Astyanax mexicanus: one gene and its partner. The protein of the gene in region 1 interacts with the protein of each later gene in a biochemical or structural test. Links are inferred from orthologs where the notes say so. Each region holds a gene or a part of one and is shown in the gene's direction. Other genes may lie near its edges.

Evidence for each region.
Region 2: the proteins of grip1 (region 1) and carm1 form a complex in vitro, tested with the Homo sapiens proteins (2 studies listed by BioGRID). The link is inferred for Astyanax mexicanus from reciprocal best matches to the Homo sapiens genes GRIP1 and CARM1.

Annotation. Positions count from the first base shown.
Region 1 is NC_064409.1:11,298,483-11,306,636, reverse strand, and holds the start of grip1 (glutamate receptor-interacting protein 1), read left to right. Parts: upstream 1-5,121; 5' UTR 5,122-5,592; coding exon 5,593-5,725; intron 5,726-8,154. UniProt on the Homo sapiens protein: May play a role as a localized scaffold for the assembly of a multiprotein signaling complex and as mediator of the trafficking of its binding partners at specific subcellular location in neurons.
Region 2 is NC_064426.1:9,725,349-9,733,373, forward strand, and holds the start of carm1 (histone-arginine methyltransferase CARM1), read left to right. Parts: upstream 1-4,961; 5' UTR 4,962-5,043; coding exon 5,044-5,185; intron 5,186-8,025. UniProt on the Homo sapiens protein: Methylates (mono- and asymmetric dimethylation) the guanidino nitrogens of arginyl residues in several proteins involved in DNA packaging, transcription regulation, pre-mRNA splicing, and mRNA stability.

The DNA of each region.
Region 1 (8,154 bases):
TTTAGCTCAGCAGTTCAGTTTTAGTCCTACATTTTTATCAGAAGTGCAGTTTTAGTCCTACATTTACCTCAGCAGTGCATTTTTCTTCCTACATTTACCTCAGCAATTCAGGTTTAGTCCTAAATCTACCTCAGCAGTGCAATTTTAGTCCTACATTTAACTCAGCAGTTCAGTTTTGGTTATTCATTTACCTCAGCAATTCAGTTTTAGATCAAAGTTTTGCTCAACTGTGCAGTTTTCGTCCTACATTTACATCAAAAGTGCAGTTTTAGTCATACAATTACCTCAGCAGTTCGGTTTTGGTCCTATATTTATCTCAGCAGTGCAGTTTTAATGCTGCATTTAATTCAGCAGCGCAGTTTTAATCCTGCATTTCCCCTTAGCAGTGCACTTTTAGTTTTACTTTTACCTCAGCAGTTCAGTTTTGGTCTAAAATAAACTATGATTTATATAAATAATATGACTGAAATAAACAAGTCATTGTTGAATACAAAGTACTCAGTCTTCTTACTTATTCAGTTTAACCTAGTATGTGCCTTTTTTTTACACAGTTTTACAAAGTTTTGTTATCTTCAGACGAATATATTCTGTGTAATCCTATCAATAACCTACGAAATTGCGTTGTTTATATTGATTACGTAAAATTGTCGGTTAGTGGTTCTGAATGTCAGTTTAAATTAATTTCGGGGTAAATGCTCATCTCAAACTGTTTCTTTAAGATGAGTAGAGCCTGTCTTTATCTGTTCTGGCATGTTAAGTGACTCATATACTGCTGCCACAGCGTTTGCTGCACAAATATAAATGTAATTATTGGCAAAGCATGAAAAAGATGAGATGCAGGCGATATTTTGGGGTTGGTGCTCAAAGTGGCGCACGAGCAAGAGCGGGAAGAGTGAAGATGGCACAGGAAGCAGTGAAGTGAAGAGAAATGAGAGAGACAAGGAGGAGGAGAGAGTGTGCAGGAGAACGAGAGAGAGAGAGAGAGAGAGAGAGAGAGAAAGAGAGAGAGAGAGACGAGTGCAAGACGAGCTTGTTGGCAGAAGATCAAATTTTTAAGCTGTGCCCTACTGCAGTGGTTTATCTGAAACAATCTTCAGAGAGAAGCATACCTGGAACGGCGCCATGATTTCCACGATTCCTAAGCATTCCTAAGACCACTGCTCACTACTGTGCTCGACTGAACACGGAGATGATGGTGAGCTTAAGAGCTCAGAAGAAGATTCTTCATTTCAAATACACTCAAACCTCATCCCTCAGGCTTTAGTCCGACCCTACAGTTGCTGTAGATGTAGACTCTACTACTTCCGTGTAACCTTTCACTACACGCAAAAGAGAGCATGGTGCTCCACGAATCACGACGGAGCTGCGCAATTCTACAGCCGTGCAGCTCAGTCAATTCCCAGTAGCATGCGTGCATGCGCAAGTCTAGGCTTTTCTGCTAGCGCTAATCAATAGCGGCTCTGTGGAGTGGCTTGATTGCAGCAGGTGGCAGACAGATTGGACGAACTCGTCCGTGTCCCCCGGTGGTTCTCTACCAACTTTCAAGGGATTCGCCGCCGCAGCCCTGAAGGCTGAGCTGTCTTGTGCTCCCTTATGTTTGCCATAATCTCCTGCAACAGTTCCAGACTGGAACAGATTCTCGCCTCGTGGAAGAGCAATGAGATGTAGAGGTTTTTAATCGTTAGACATGTTCCAAATCTCAATGTAAAAGTCTCAGTTTAGTTAATTAAAGGTTTATAATAAATTGAAGTAAAAATTCATCTCCATTAATTGACATTTTCCACTTTTTTTCCCTCCGTTTTCTCCCCAATGTACACAGCCAATTACCTAACCCACTCATTAAGACTCTAAGACGATGCCCCAACACCAGGAGAGAGAAGACTAGCACATGCCTCCTCTGATACATGTGAATTGGAGGAAAGAGCAGTGACTCGGTTCTAATACATCAGCTAACAGATGCCTCATGCTGATCGACATCACCCTTTAGAGTCATGTGGGGAAAGATCGCTATCTACCCACCCGAGAGAGAGAGAGCAAGGCCAATTGTTGTTGTGCTCTCTCAAGGCTCTCACCGGTAGCCGATAGCAAGCTACATGAACAGGTTTCGAACCGGAAATCTACTGATCACAGTGGCAGCGTTTTCAAAAGTTTTTCCTCTTACCTTGTAAAGTTTATATAGTGAAAGCTTTGTGCATTGCAGTGTGTCAAATACAAAATGTTGCCTTGGAAACTGATTTAATTGATTGAAGGACAAATATGCCAATACCATTACCTTAATACCATTCCATAGTGTTTATTCTTGTTGTCATATTCTTGTGTAATATATTCAAACTCAATTTAGACAAAGACAATGTATGTGTCAGTCCTGACGCTGTCTGTCTGCCTGCTCAAGATTGTCCTCTAAAGACTCAACTTGCCAGCATGCACCCACAATGGACTTCCATGACTCCACTGATTACATGATGCTATGGTGTTCCTGCTCTCCTAGCTACTAATTGGTTCCACCTGTCCTCCCTAGTATATATACCCCTCAATTTGCACAGTTCAGTCCTAAGTAATGTAGGATACATTGCTGTTTTTCCTACTTTGATATTGACCCTTTTTTTTTAAATCACTGTTTATAGTCTTTTGCCTTGCCCATTTTGTTGATTACCCGTAGCCAAATGTTTTTGTAATAGCAGGGGTATGAATGATTTTGTAAGCAAATGCTCTTTGTTTGTTATTTTCCAACAAGATCCAAAAAATGGATCCCAAAAAAAGTTTTTTGATAGTAATTATCTCCTTTTGTATTTTTTGGTTCCATTTTTTCTAAATTCAAAAAAAAAAAAAAAAAAGAGAAAATAACTATTAAACATGTTTTTGTATATTATATTGTTGTCTGTTTGTATATTTGTGTTGCCATATACTGTACAGTATCCTTGATGTTACATTAGCGTCTCGATCTGCTGGATTAAATGTGATAATCCATGCCGTGCCCATGGGGGGAGAGATTAAACTGGCTCCTCGTTTTTTCACAAAAGAACAAAGAGAGACCACCCCCACACACTCCACATTCTGTCTACCTCAAAACACACACCTCAAGAGCTCATGCGAACAGGTTCTGTCGAGCGAGCTGCCGGCATGTTCTTGCATGAGCGGATGTTTTTTTTGAGGCTGGTTTGTTTGTCTCCTGTGTTGTTTGCGTCTGAGCTGGGAATGTGGGCTAGAAAGCCCACCCCCGACCCCCCTGAACACGGACATCCGGGGTCCTGCATTAGTCACAGCTGCTGGGAGAATATTGTAGGGTATTGTAGGCTTCAGGTCGGAAAATGACAAGGTGAAAACCTGTGTTTTTGAGCTGGTTCTTGTTTTTGAAGGCAGCCGGGTACAGCTCTGTTCCACATCAAGGAGAAGCAATGCCTTTCTAAAACACTGTAAAACAAAGAAGCGAGACCACCACCAGCAGCAGCAAGTCTGGCAGGCTGCACACTCCCAGTTCACCATGTGGGTCACTGTCACGCGCTGCTTGACTGCTGGCAGAAGCTGAGGTGTCATTGGTGGAAATCAGCCCAATTAACACGTACCGCTCTGGAACGCTAATGCTATTAGCGGCTCAGTCCGTGTTTGGGGTGGCTGGAGATGGGGCTAGGGCTGGAACTCCTGCTGGTGGAGGGTGCTGTAATGTAATCCCCTCATGCTTTTGTTTGTTTGGCAATGCGAACCACTCCAACACCCACCCGCTCCAGCTTGTCTGAGTGCATCATCTCCTGTGCTGCAGCACCTCTAAAAATGGGCTTTTGGAGGGAAAAAAAACATATGTTTAGAGCTGACTTAAAAGAATACTTACTTTTTAAGCACTGCAGCTTTAAGTTACAAGCTATAGTACTATTCACGAGTGGGGAGGGAAATCTATGTTCTCTTTTCTGGTAGTTGTTTTTTTTTGACAAGAATAACATTGGCTGGTAACCTGAGCAAATATTGGCACTGAGAATGGCATTGATACCAGAGCAAATGCAAACATTTTAGAGATATCAAAACTTCAAATGTAAACTTTTAAACCTTCTCGTACATGCATTTTTAAACCGAAAAAACTGATCTGACAATCTAAAAATTAATTTTTAGAAAATCTGCACGTTTAGTAAAACACATTCTTGTTTGTTTAGTGTTGAAACAGCTTAGCATGAAGCAGAAAGAGCATTAGTTCATAGTTACAGTAGTTAATTGTCTGGATAATAAATCAGGTTAAACTGCACCTGAACAGCTTATCAGTTTATCTCAAATAAAAGGAGTATTTTTGATTGTCGAGTCAGATAGAGAACGGATCACATTCTTGTTTGGAACCGGTCTGAAATTATCTCCTCTAGGGGGTCTCGGTATGGTTGTTTTGGTCTGCACCAGAGTTTTATTACTGTTTTCACACCTGCTAAAAAAAAACGAACCGCACCAGAGTGTGTTTTAACTGGAGCAAATAGTGCTGGTGTGAAAACACCCTTAGTTAGCTGTGCTCTTACGATGATGGATTCCTTTGTTCTCGTAAATTGTGCAAATCTCAAATATAGAAGTAGTGGGGAATGTTGGAAAAGGTCTAGTGAGTTTATTTACAATGCATCTCAGAATGCGATGATTGACATTTCTCAGACTCCATTGCATTGAAAGAATAAATATCAACTTCAGCTGGTTAAAAATCAACTTTACACAATTCTACTCTGACCACAGATTAACCCAGGCAGGGGGTGGGGTGCAAAAATGCAGAAATGCACAAATTCTTTCTTCAAAGGATTCTTTTAAATTATAGGACATCATCTGGAATTCCTTCAGTCTTTATTGCCCGCATTCTTGGAGGCACGCAAAATACCACCTTGTGCAGCTTCTCCACCTTCCTCAGGCTTTTTAGCTTTTGGCAAATCAGGGGGAAAGCAGGGGGAAGGGTGGGCAGTGAAGTGGCAGCATAAACCCACAGCTCAGGGATTCCTCGCCTGGCTGCCGGGTCCTTTGAACTTTGTGTCTCTCGCTCTCTTTTGCTGTGAAGGAATAAGCAGAAGAACAAGCCGGCCTCTCCTCTGTATGTGTACGAGTCCCCACCTCCCTCCCTCTCTCTCTCTCTCTCGCTCCTCATTCCCCACACTCCACAATGCGCACACACCCTCTTTGGCTCTCGCACGCACTGACACACACACAATGGACTACTCAGCAGGCGGCGAGTGCTGAAGGCTGGGCAGAGGGAGCCGGGCTGGACGGGGTCTATTCTCTCGGAAGAGTCGGCCAGGTCCGCAGGAGCTGATATTTGACCCATTCCCTATCGTTTTATACCCCCTCCTCCCTCCTCGCCTCCTCTGCTGCTCCCTGCCTTCTTCTTTCTTCAGTCTTTAGGAGATCACTCGCTTTCTCTTTTCAGCAGCTCTTTGTGCAGCGGAATACACTCTCACATCGCTGCTGCCGCTACTACTGCCGCCACCGCTGCCAAGACTACCGCTGCTGCTGTCGCTGCTACTACTACCGCTACTGCTGCTCCAGCTGCCGCTGATTCTTCTGCCTCTTCTGCCTCTGCCTCTGACTGCTGCTGCCACTGGAGCAGGAGGAGGAGTGCGGCAGTTTTGCGTGTAGATCGCTGGAATGGAACGCTTCCTTGGCTTTGTAAAGCAAATTCGCAGGTCCCGCAGACGCAAGGGCAAAAAGTACCGGCCCGAAGAGGATTACCACGAGGGCTATGAGGATGTGTATTACTACGCTTCCGAGCACCTGCACAGTAAGTGGTCCTGCTTGACTGAATGCCATCCCGGGGACTGTGCAGGGGTCCGGCAAGGGATCCTGCCCCCACAGATCTGTTTTATTGTTTTACCATCAGTGTGAATCATTAGCCTTGAGCTGGCAATAAGAGAGAGGCAGGCAGGCAGGCGGGCAGGTGGGATGGTTAGTCGGGGTGGGTGGTTGGAAAGGAGGGACTGACTTTGTTTCGGGGGGCAAATCGAGAGGCTTATGCGCAGCTTGTGAAGCCCTGTGGAGTGTGGCCAGGTCGCAGGGCGATAATGGATGTGATAATGTCTCAATGTCTCAAGTTGCCTGTTGTCACAAACACGTGTATGTGTGTGTGTGTATACACACGTTTGCGTCGGTGTGCCTGTGGCTGCAGTAAAGAGCGTGTCCTGCCAGTCTTGATAAATGGCATGTATCGGATAACGCTTATTTCTATTGATTGAGCGTGAATGGTTTGTCAGAGAAGGTCTCGGAGCGAACTGTGTGTGTGCGCACATGTGGTCAGTCCCGGCCATGTGCAGGCCACCTTAATGCCTTAGTGTTGCACCACCTAAAGGTTTGGTTGGTTAGTTGGTTGGTTAGTTGGTTGGTTTGGATGCTTGTTTGCTTTCTGCCCTTGTCTTAAATGAGGTAGGAAGATAGATAGAAAGGTAGGTAGGTGTGTTTGTGTTGTCACCCCTCCCCCGCCGTTGCTGACATGCTGCTTCGCCCTAAAGGCACGTTGTTCTCAGGTGACGTGTGTGGTGTGTGTGTCTGTGTGTGTGTGAGAGTGTGTAGCGGCTTGTTTAAAAATACAGCAGCCGTCTGCCCGTCTTCCGTCACCTACTTTCATCTATTATGAAGCAGCACTCTCTTCGTGCCCCCGGAAGAGAAGCGTTTGTCTCCTGCCTCCTGCAGTCGTTCATTAGCTGTTCTTAGCTTAGTGCTTCCATTACTTCCATTACGTACAGCTGTGGAACTCAGCTGATCGCAGCTCTGCGTTGAGAAGCAGGTTTTATCTATTAAACTACTAAGCTGTGTACTTCTTCCCTCAAGCAGTTCCCCCTAACTAGTGACCTCAAGGTTGTAAATGGAATGACAGGCAAGGGAGCAAAGGGAGGCCTGTCATCTACATTCCTTCCCTCCTTACTTTGCTGAGTAAGAGAGATGGAATGACCTGGAGTCAGACCCAGAACAGATGTACGGAACCTTGCTCTGGTGCCGTAGCCCTCCTGGCTTGCTGGGTTAGCATTCAGAACCAGCACTGAGTTGTTTTCAGGGTTTTCTCCTTAACAGTCCACAGAGCACAGAGTAGAGCGAGTGAAGGCCTTTGACATTCAGGAAGGTCTGGAATGTCTGTATTTTCATACCTTAGGATTAAGCAGTTGCTTGAATTTTGATGTTGTGGTTTGTGGCCTCACGTCGGGACCCCAAACCCGTAGAGCCACCATGTTCTTGTTGTTCCCTGCGACTCTTTGTTACTCACCCAGCCTGAGAATTGAATGGATGATGACTGGCTTAATTGATTGCACAACTCGAGTCATGTTTTATTCTACAGCGCATGCTGTTTAATGTGCACAGAACCATTAATTAAATAGGAGCTTTTTTCATTAGCGGATGGTTACGACTGTGATTTTTTGCCTGATGGCGGAAACCGGCTCTCTCGGTAGTCTCGCTCTTGCATGCATGCGTTTAGTCAGATATTCGCTTTGATGTGCAATCGCAAAAGCTCAGCTCTGCAACATAAAATTAGACACCTAATTGGCCCAGCTGGAGTCCAAGTGAGTCAGACACAGGAAGTGGGGGAATAAATGGCATTGGGAAGAGTTTTTAGATATGGGGACCTATCCGACATGGAGATGTTTAAACCTGAGTCTCTCAAGTTTGTTGGTATGCGAGTCTAGAAGGCCACAATTAGGCCTGAGATGACAGTAGATCTTGCTAAAAAGCCAGACTTACAGCTGTGGCTCGACGCATCCCGGAGCGCACAGTGGCAACCCACGCTAATTAACTTCTGTGACCGAAAAAAACTGTAAATGTCACACTTGGTCACTGAGCCTACCCTCATCTGTGCTTCAGAGCCCCTCCTCTCTGCATCATTTATATCAACCTCATGCATAATTCATGCTGAGGTTGTAGTCTGCCCATTCCTGTACATTCATCAAACTCCTACTTGTGTGAGACCCTGCCATTTGCCTTCTAATGGGATTCATCCGTCTGCAGTCCCCATCCTCCCCTGGCTTGGGGGACGTGTACACTTTTGGGTTTTGAAAAATGATTCATTTCACCACGACAATAAGGAAGACTCGGGCAGGGCATGCTCACTCATAAATCTGGGAAATGAGGAACAGCGGAGCGCCAAAAAGGAGGATAAAGAGAAGCTTTGTGGCTTTCAATTCCTGCCATTTGTTTTCCTGCACCTTCTGCACGCAAGCAAGCAAG
Region 2 (8,025 bases), on another chromosome or scaffold:
CTGCATATAATAATTCAGATTGCCTAACCATATTGCAAACCCACCACTTCTAAGGTCTTCTACACTGGACCTGTGTGCTCACTGTCCCCCTAGAGTGTGTTTGTGTGTTCACCAGTATGTGTATGTGTGTGTTAGCTATTGCATACCCATACAGATAATTATCTCTCTCTCTTTTTCTCTTTCTCTCTCTCTCTCTTTCTCTCTTTCTCTCTCTCTCTCTCTCTCTCTCTCTCCCTCTCTCAATCACTCTCTTCTAAAGAAGTAAAGATGAAGAAGACCTCAGAAACATTCCCCTCCACTCATTCTTAATGACGCTCAGCGCTGGATCAACACTACCCTTTAACTTAAAAATTCCTTTTTGTTTTTACATCAGTAATAATTCCATTCATTCATATTTGCAATACTGTTTCTATTACTGTGCCATTAAGAGTGCTGTAGAAGTCTGTAAACAAGCTCTGTTCTGATTGGCTCTCCTGTATTGTGCCTTATTCAAGATGTCTGGGCTGAAACATATTTGTCAGTGTAAGTGTGCTGGGTTTTATAACATCACAAAAGCAAGTTAAAACCAAGTTTGTTGATTTTGTTTTGTGCAGTTCACTGTCCATATGTGGACTATATGAACTGGGGAGTGAATGATATCTTTTGAAGCTATGACAATGTTTACATCCTTTTTTTTTGAAAACCATCAAGTTGGGAAAGTTGTCTGTGATATGGGCTGTTTAAGAAAAGTGATTATTTTTGTTATTTTGCATCAGTTACTGTAAATCCAGGATGTGTCCTAAAAGCGCAAGTGTGGTGATAACAGTTGGAAGAAAAGGAAACGTGAAGTTCTCAGGCTTTTAATTCTAAACACAAAATTGTCTTACTTTCCTGTCTCTAGTTTTTCTTGTCTATGTATTTTCTTGCCTTGTTTTTTTTTAACTATAATCAAATTCACTAAATTGTAATAATGATGGAAAATTAAGAGACACTATATGACCTCTTTGTTGTAGTGTATACTAGGGATACAATTCAGTATATCAAATTATATTGTGATTACTGCAAGTAAGGCAATATATTGCAAAAAATCATAGTATATCAAAACACACACTTATTATATAAATAAAATGTGAATTAAAGGAAACTACTTTATGCATCTATAACAGTAAAACACTGCTATCTAGTGGGTGGGATTTTAACACAACACAGTATGAACCATTAAAACTAATTAAACAAATCTATTATTGCAATAATATATTATTGCAAAACCATATATCATGTTTTGGTATGATATTGCTTTTTTAAAACCCTAAACAATCACTTTGTGTATACCACATGGTTGAAAATCTAAGTACTTTGAAGATTTAAAGCAAAAAAACTAATAGACATGACTGATAACTGATAGATCAACCAAAATATGTTTAATTTCTGAAATTTGCTTTGTTAGTTTATGACGCTATGCTAATAATTACACCTTGTATACACAGATAGCCATATATTTTAAATTTTATCATATGAATAAACGTAAATACTGTTCTATTGCAAATATATATTTTTTAGATTTAGACACAATCCACAATTCCATGACTTGCAGAGTACACTACCGAGGGAGTATTGGGTATGTTGGGATGATTATTCTATTTTCTTCCTTCTTTGTGGTGTGTTGATGTCTCTGTTTATGAGGTACTACAGACCTGCCAACATTTTCACATTTTGTGTAATGTGCACGCATTTTGACATCCTAGTACACTTGTACAATACGTTTTATAAAATATGCATATTGTTTGCCAGTTTCAGTCAGGTTGTCACTGACACAAGCAAAGTGCTTTCAGCCAATCAGAGCACTTCATGTTCATCCAACCACCCCACGTCTGCTAGCTTCGAACTTTAGTCAGAGCCCTTATAATGATGATAGTGCTGTCATGCTGTTTATCGACATGGCCGGTAAGCATAAACACTATTCCAGCAAACTAATTATGGAGCCATCCACTACTTTTATTCACACTTAATTTTCCTCCAAACTTTCAGCACATTTCTTCAAGGTTGGCAGGTCTGGGTACTATTACCCCTTACAGGGCCATATTGCTCAGCCCTACATGGTGTGTGCCAAAATAATAGGATTTATATACTGAACGATCAGGTTTTACAGTTTTTCTACTTTTTAAATGCACTGTAAACTGTCAGCCCCTTGATGCCTTGATATACAGCTATGCACTGTGAATGCACATCCAATAAAATGAAATAATAATGTTCATGTGTTTGTTTTTTTACTTTTTTGGCATTTAAACAATGTTTTGGCATGGTCTCTATTCCCTGCCCAAAAACAGCCTGCCCATCTAAAGCTAGTCTAGCTAAAATGGTTCTTAAAGGTTTGTGAACCCTTTAAATTTTTATCTATATAAATATTCTGCATAAATATGATCTAAAACATCATCAAACATTTTCTGTAACTTTTGATCAGTCCTGCTCCACTGCCTTGGAGGAATTTTAGCTTTTTACTCTGTACAGAACAGCTTTAAATCTGGGATGTTGGTGCGTTTCCTCACATTAACTGCACACTTCAGTTCCTTTCACAACATTTCCATTGGTTGACCACTCCTTATACAATCTGTCTGACTGTGTATTGTTAGAGTCAAAACTCTTTAGAGATGTTTTTTAACCTTTTAACTTTTTTCAGCTTGATGAGCATCAACTACTCTTTTTCTAAGGATCTCAGAAATCACATTTGTTCGTGTTATAATAGACTTCTATAAAGGTGTTGTGAAGAGCAGATTTTAAAGCTGATGTTCATAGGTTTTGGGATTAAGGGCCCTCTCTGGTGAGAATAGGTAATTCCGCCAAGCATGTGGAAGAATCACTTTAAACTGGGTGGGTGTCTCCTTTCAGAGTGGATGAATTCGATTCCAGGTTATGTTCTTCATTTCTTTGTTTTTTATATGAGATACTGAGCTCTGAGTTTTCTCTTCTGAAGTCTCCATTGTTCCACCAGCCACTCGCATTCAATAAAACTGCGCCGAATCCTCTTTTAGAGTCTGTAGTGTGAATTCCCGCAAAAAGTGGTCTGACACCCCAGTTTTTAGAATGAATATATTAGGCTTAGCAGGGACGGTGGTTTCAGCACACTGGTACCATCAAACACAATATTTTCTTCCTTCTCCACTCAGAAATGCTTCTGCTTTCAGTTTAGAAACAAAATAATACAGACTTACATTTTAAATAAATCACTGTTAAATAAAATAAGGTTCTCACTTACACCTGATTGTCATACTATCCATTGAAACACCTGACTCTAATTTCACCTTCAAACTAACTGCTAATCCTAGAAGGTCACATCATTTTGCCAGTCACAAATATGTAATATTGGATAATATTATGAACCACTGTAATTAAGCTGGTTAACCAGCATAGGGTGTTTTTTATGGTTAAGCTGGTCTACAATCATGATCAATCTGAACAAGCCAGACCTCAAGTATGACCAGCATGACCACCAGCCTGACTAAGCAGGTTACCCAGCAACAATATGCGGTGCAAACAGCTGACCAACCACAACAGACTCAACTGCAATCCCCTCAACTAGCTCATCTCACACACTAATGACTGGACAAAGGACCAACTATACTCAGGAAATCAGTTTTATTCTAAATCATTCTGAAATCTAACAGAGTTGGAAATAAGCTTGGTCATTTTTTAACACCAACAAAGGTCACAAATTACGTTTGTTCTTTCTTAGTCCTTTCTGATCCTGTCTGTGTTTCTAGCCATGTGCTCTTTAAGCACATTGCCCTGTTTTGCTGTTGTCTTGTCTCCTGTTTTTTTTTTCAACCCTCCTTACTACCCCAGGTGTTCCTTGAGGCAGGGCCTTCCAAAAAGAAAAAAGATAAAACTCATTTCACCTCTAAATACTCTAAATTTAATAAAAAAAAAAAAGGAAAATTAATTGATATAAAAGTAAAGTTCCTATATGATTTGGTGTGCAAATTTTATTTTGTTTTGTTTTTTTTTTGGTGGGGGGTGGGGGGGTTAACCTCCCTGAAATCAACTTTTGCAACTTGGGATGTCTGCTGTGTATATATACCCCATATCTACTTTGTTCTCTGTCATGCTTTTGATGTTTGTGCCTGCTAAGTTTCTGCTTTGTTTTCTTTAGTTTGTTTGTTTCTTTGTTTATTAGAGTTCTTTTAGAGTATTTAGTATTAGAGTATTAGAGTATTTTTATTATTTTTTGTAAGGGCTAATAATAAAAAAAATCTGACATTCATTTGCATTCTGCTTCTGGACCATTACAATTCTATGGCATTTTAATGGTACTTATGGCAATAATGGTTAAAAAACACAGAAGCAACATATGTCAAATTACCAAAAATAATATTAAAAGACAGAGACCTGATTTAATAAATAATTATCTCAAATTAATAATTTGTTCCCACAATTTAGTAAATTAGTCTCAATTTTTTTTTATCTCACAATTTAATAGATTATTCCGGAATTCTAAAGAAACAGATCATTTATAAACATGTTAATAAACTATTCCCACCATTTACTGAATCAGCCTTAAATTTAGTAATTATTCCCTCAGTTTTACTAATCTACATAGCCTATTAAATTCTTTCAACAATGTAATAAATTAAACTTCCACAATTTAATAAATAATTAACACAATTAGTACATCATTCCCAGATAGCAAAAGTATGTTCACTCATCATTCATTTTTCCATCTCTAAAGCATGAAAACAGCATTGATTTCTGATGCTGATTAATTCCCACAATTTAACGTATGTTTTTTTATTTATACATTTAAAAAATCAAAGAGAAATGTTGATACATTTATGTAATTATTTATAAAAACGAGGAAACGTTTTATAAATAAAAAAAAAACATCAGTTTCTACTTTGTATCGATTGTATCGAGTATCCAGCCCTGAGCGCGGTTGTCTTGCAGGGTTTGGCCGAGCGGGGGCGGTAGTGAGCCCGGCCTTCCTTCCCCGCCGAGTCCGCGGGAGATCGGATCAGAGCGGTTGCGTGTTCGCTGCTGCTGCTGCTGCTCTCTTCCCCCCCAAGCTTGAAGATGGCGGTGTCGGTGTTCCCCGGCGTGCGGCTCCTCTCCATTGGGGACGCGAACGGAGATATCCAGCGGCACTCGGAGCAGCAGCCTCTGCGCCTGGAGGTGAAAACTACGCAGGACGCGGCCCTGATCAACCTCTCCAACAGTGAGTGGACGCTCCGCCGTAACGTCCAGCCTTTGTGTCCGGCACGCTTAGCTAACTAGCGTTAGCGAGCGGTGGCTAGGCTAACGGGGCTACAGGGTTTAATATTTAGGCTGTAGATATAATATATTAGTTATATTGGTTTATGAGGTGATACGTATGTGTGTTAGGTGTCGTTTTCGAGTTTGTGCTGTTTAATTAGTGTGAAACTGTGCTTTGTGTGACTAAAAGCAGCTGCAAGTGTAGCAATGGGTAGTCCAACTCCAGAAAGTAAAAATCCAAGCCCAGGTTTTGTTCCAACTGTATGGGCGGATTGGTTGCAGTACAGCCGTCATAGCGGTTTGAACAAAAACCGCGGTGGATTTTTACTTTGTGTATCTGGAAACTGTCTGTTTATTACACACGACTGAAACCACGTTGGTAGACTATTAGCACTCAATGCTAACTCATAGCTAGCTTATTATTGATGCTGGTTGGCGCTGGTGCGGATTGAACCCAGGTCCAAAAAGTAGCTATTAATCCAGCCCAGGATTTAGATCAAACTGCTTGAGCAGCTTTGCTGTGCCCTTCTAAGAGCCAGAAAAACAGCTTTTAACATTTATATATTTTTTTTATTTCACTAAGTATTATGGTTCAACAACTGGTATGGTTAAAATAAAAAAATCTTTGTTTATTTTTTATATTATTTTCCTTGTAGTGGTCACTGGGTCTTGATTAGTCTAAGAATGTAGGGGACAAAAAGCTAATGGTATTGAAATGTGAAAATAGTTTTCCCTCCATCTAGGGATGGACACATCCCATTGGTTTGTGTGCTCTAAAATGTGTCCAGTACGGTTAGAGTGACCAGAAGACTGGAAATCTGAGGGGTCCACCTCTCACCTTTACTCTCACTGCCTTACTGTCCTGCCTTCAGCCATCCTCCTGTTCCTCTCCTGGCAGCTCTAATGCTGCATTTATGTGCTGTTGGAATTATGTGAAATATGACTGACTGATTTGGAAGTTGCATACAAACAGCCTCCTGAACACTTAATTCCAGAGAAATTCTGAGAAAAAGAGAATCTGTAGCGGATTTTAAAAGTGCAGCTGCTGTTAACAGTTGTCTGCACATTTTCTAGACTATAGCCCTGTCCGAATGGGATTCGTTTCTCAGGAGGTCCTGGGGTAATTTTTTCTTTTATGTGGTGTCCTCTGTAATTTTATTTCCGTCTGGAACGACCATGTATGTGTTTTTCTCAGATGTCCTCTGAGAAAACTACACGCAGAATTTCCCACTGTTTTCCGCTGAACTCCGTGGTCCTCCGGTAATTTTACTCCAGTCCGGCCGCACATCTGAGTTTAGTCACATTGCTTTTAATAAAATAACTATTTTTCCACTGCCACTCCACTGTAATTACACATTGGGCTCACAGAGATCCACATAAATACAACATTGAGTGGACATGGAGGAGCTACTGAACGCAATTTCACGTGACCTAGAAAGCCAAAAAACTCAATGGTCTTAGTTTTTTCAATTGCAGTCCGGACGCAAGAGTTTTATCACTAAGTAAAAGTGTGAAATATTTTTCACAGACATACCCCTGAAGAAAACCAATCCTGTCCAGATAGGGCTTATGAATCTGTTCATTGCAAAGTTGACTACTCTACTAAAACCTTTTTCTTCAAGAAACCAGCAAAAACAAACCTTGTCTTCCTTTCTTCATGTTGCTCAAAAAAAAAAAACACCCTTGCATGTGACATGCTCGTAGGTTTTTATTTCACAAGTGCAAAGTATGACTTTTTCTCTGACTAGCTAGCACAAGAACACAGCATTAGTCTGACATTTCCTATACAATTCTGAGTAAAATTCATTCAGCATCTTTTGAAGCTGGATAAAATTGGAGGCAGTATTTGTCTGCTACAGAGGTCACTGAAAAAAAATTGATAGTTAAAATGACTGTAGACTTCTAAAATACTGGACAAATTAAAGGAAAGTGTTATTTTAAAGAAACAATTTCTGTATTAGCAGCAGAAACAAAATAAATGCAAAAAATGTATACATTTCTTGGTGCCTTAAAATGTGAAAGCTGTGATGGTCACTAATTTAAAAAGAAAGTCCCTGAGCTTTGTTGGCAATACACATCCCAGCAATTGAAGTTTCATTGGACAGCATAGAATGTTCAGTGTTGATGATAGAAAAGTTCAAGGGTTCAAGCCATTTTCATAAATTGTGATGGACTTAAAGTTTCTCGACTTGTGTCCATTATAGTTGTCAATATTGAAATGGCATTTCCCACAAGGATAAATTCTAATAAAGCTCCCCAGTAAGCTGGATCAAAATCCTGAGGCAGACTTTCACTCTTTGGACATGGATTTACCTCCTATGCTTCTTGGCGTTAAGTCATAAAGTTAGCCAGCAGCACTCTGTTTCTTTTCAGCTGATTTACGAGTGTGCTGTACACAGAGAAACAAAGCTCACCCCTCAAATCTAAACCAGAGATTATGATTTCCCCAGAGTTCCCTCTGTTTCGTTTGAAGTTAAAGCACTCCAGGTAACCCTAAAGCCTAATGCTTAACGCCTGCCAGCTGGCAGTGGGACTGAGTGTGTTGTGGTGTTGAAGCTCAGATGGCGCACATCATTGCTCTGCTTCTTAAGAGAAATACTGATGGATATAAATGTTCTTCAGTAGGTCTGTTAAGCTTTATAACATGCAGGGCGCTGAGCCTGTGCTTTAAGACGCTCATCTTTGTTCACTGGAAGACAATAGCCAGTCCCCCTGCCTCCCCTCTCGCCTCTTGCCCGCCTGTTCATTCAGTGGTCTCTGCTTTTGTTTGGGAAGAAGTGCCGTGGACCCCCCTGGAAAAAA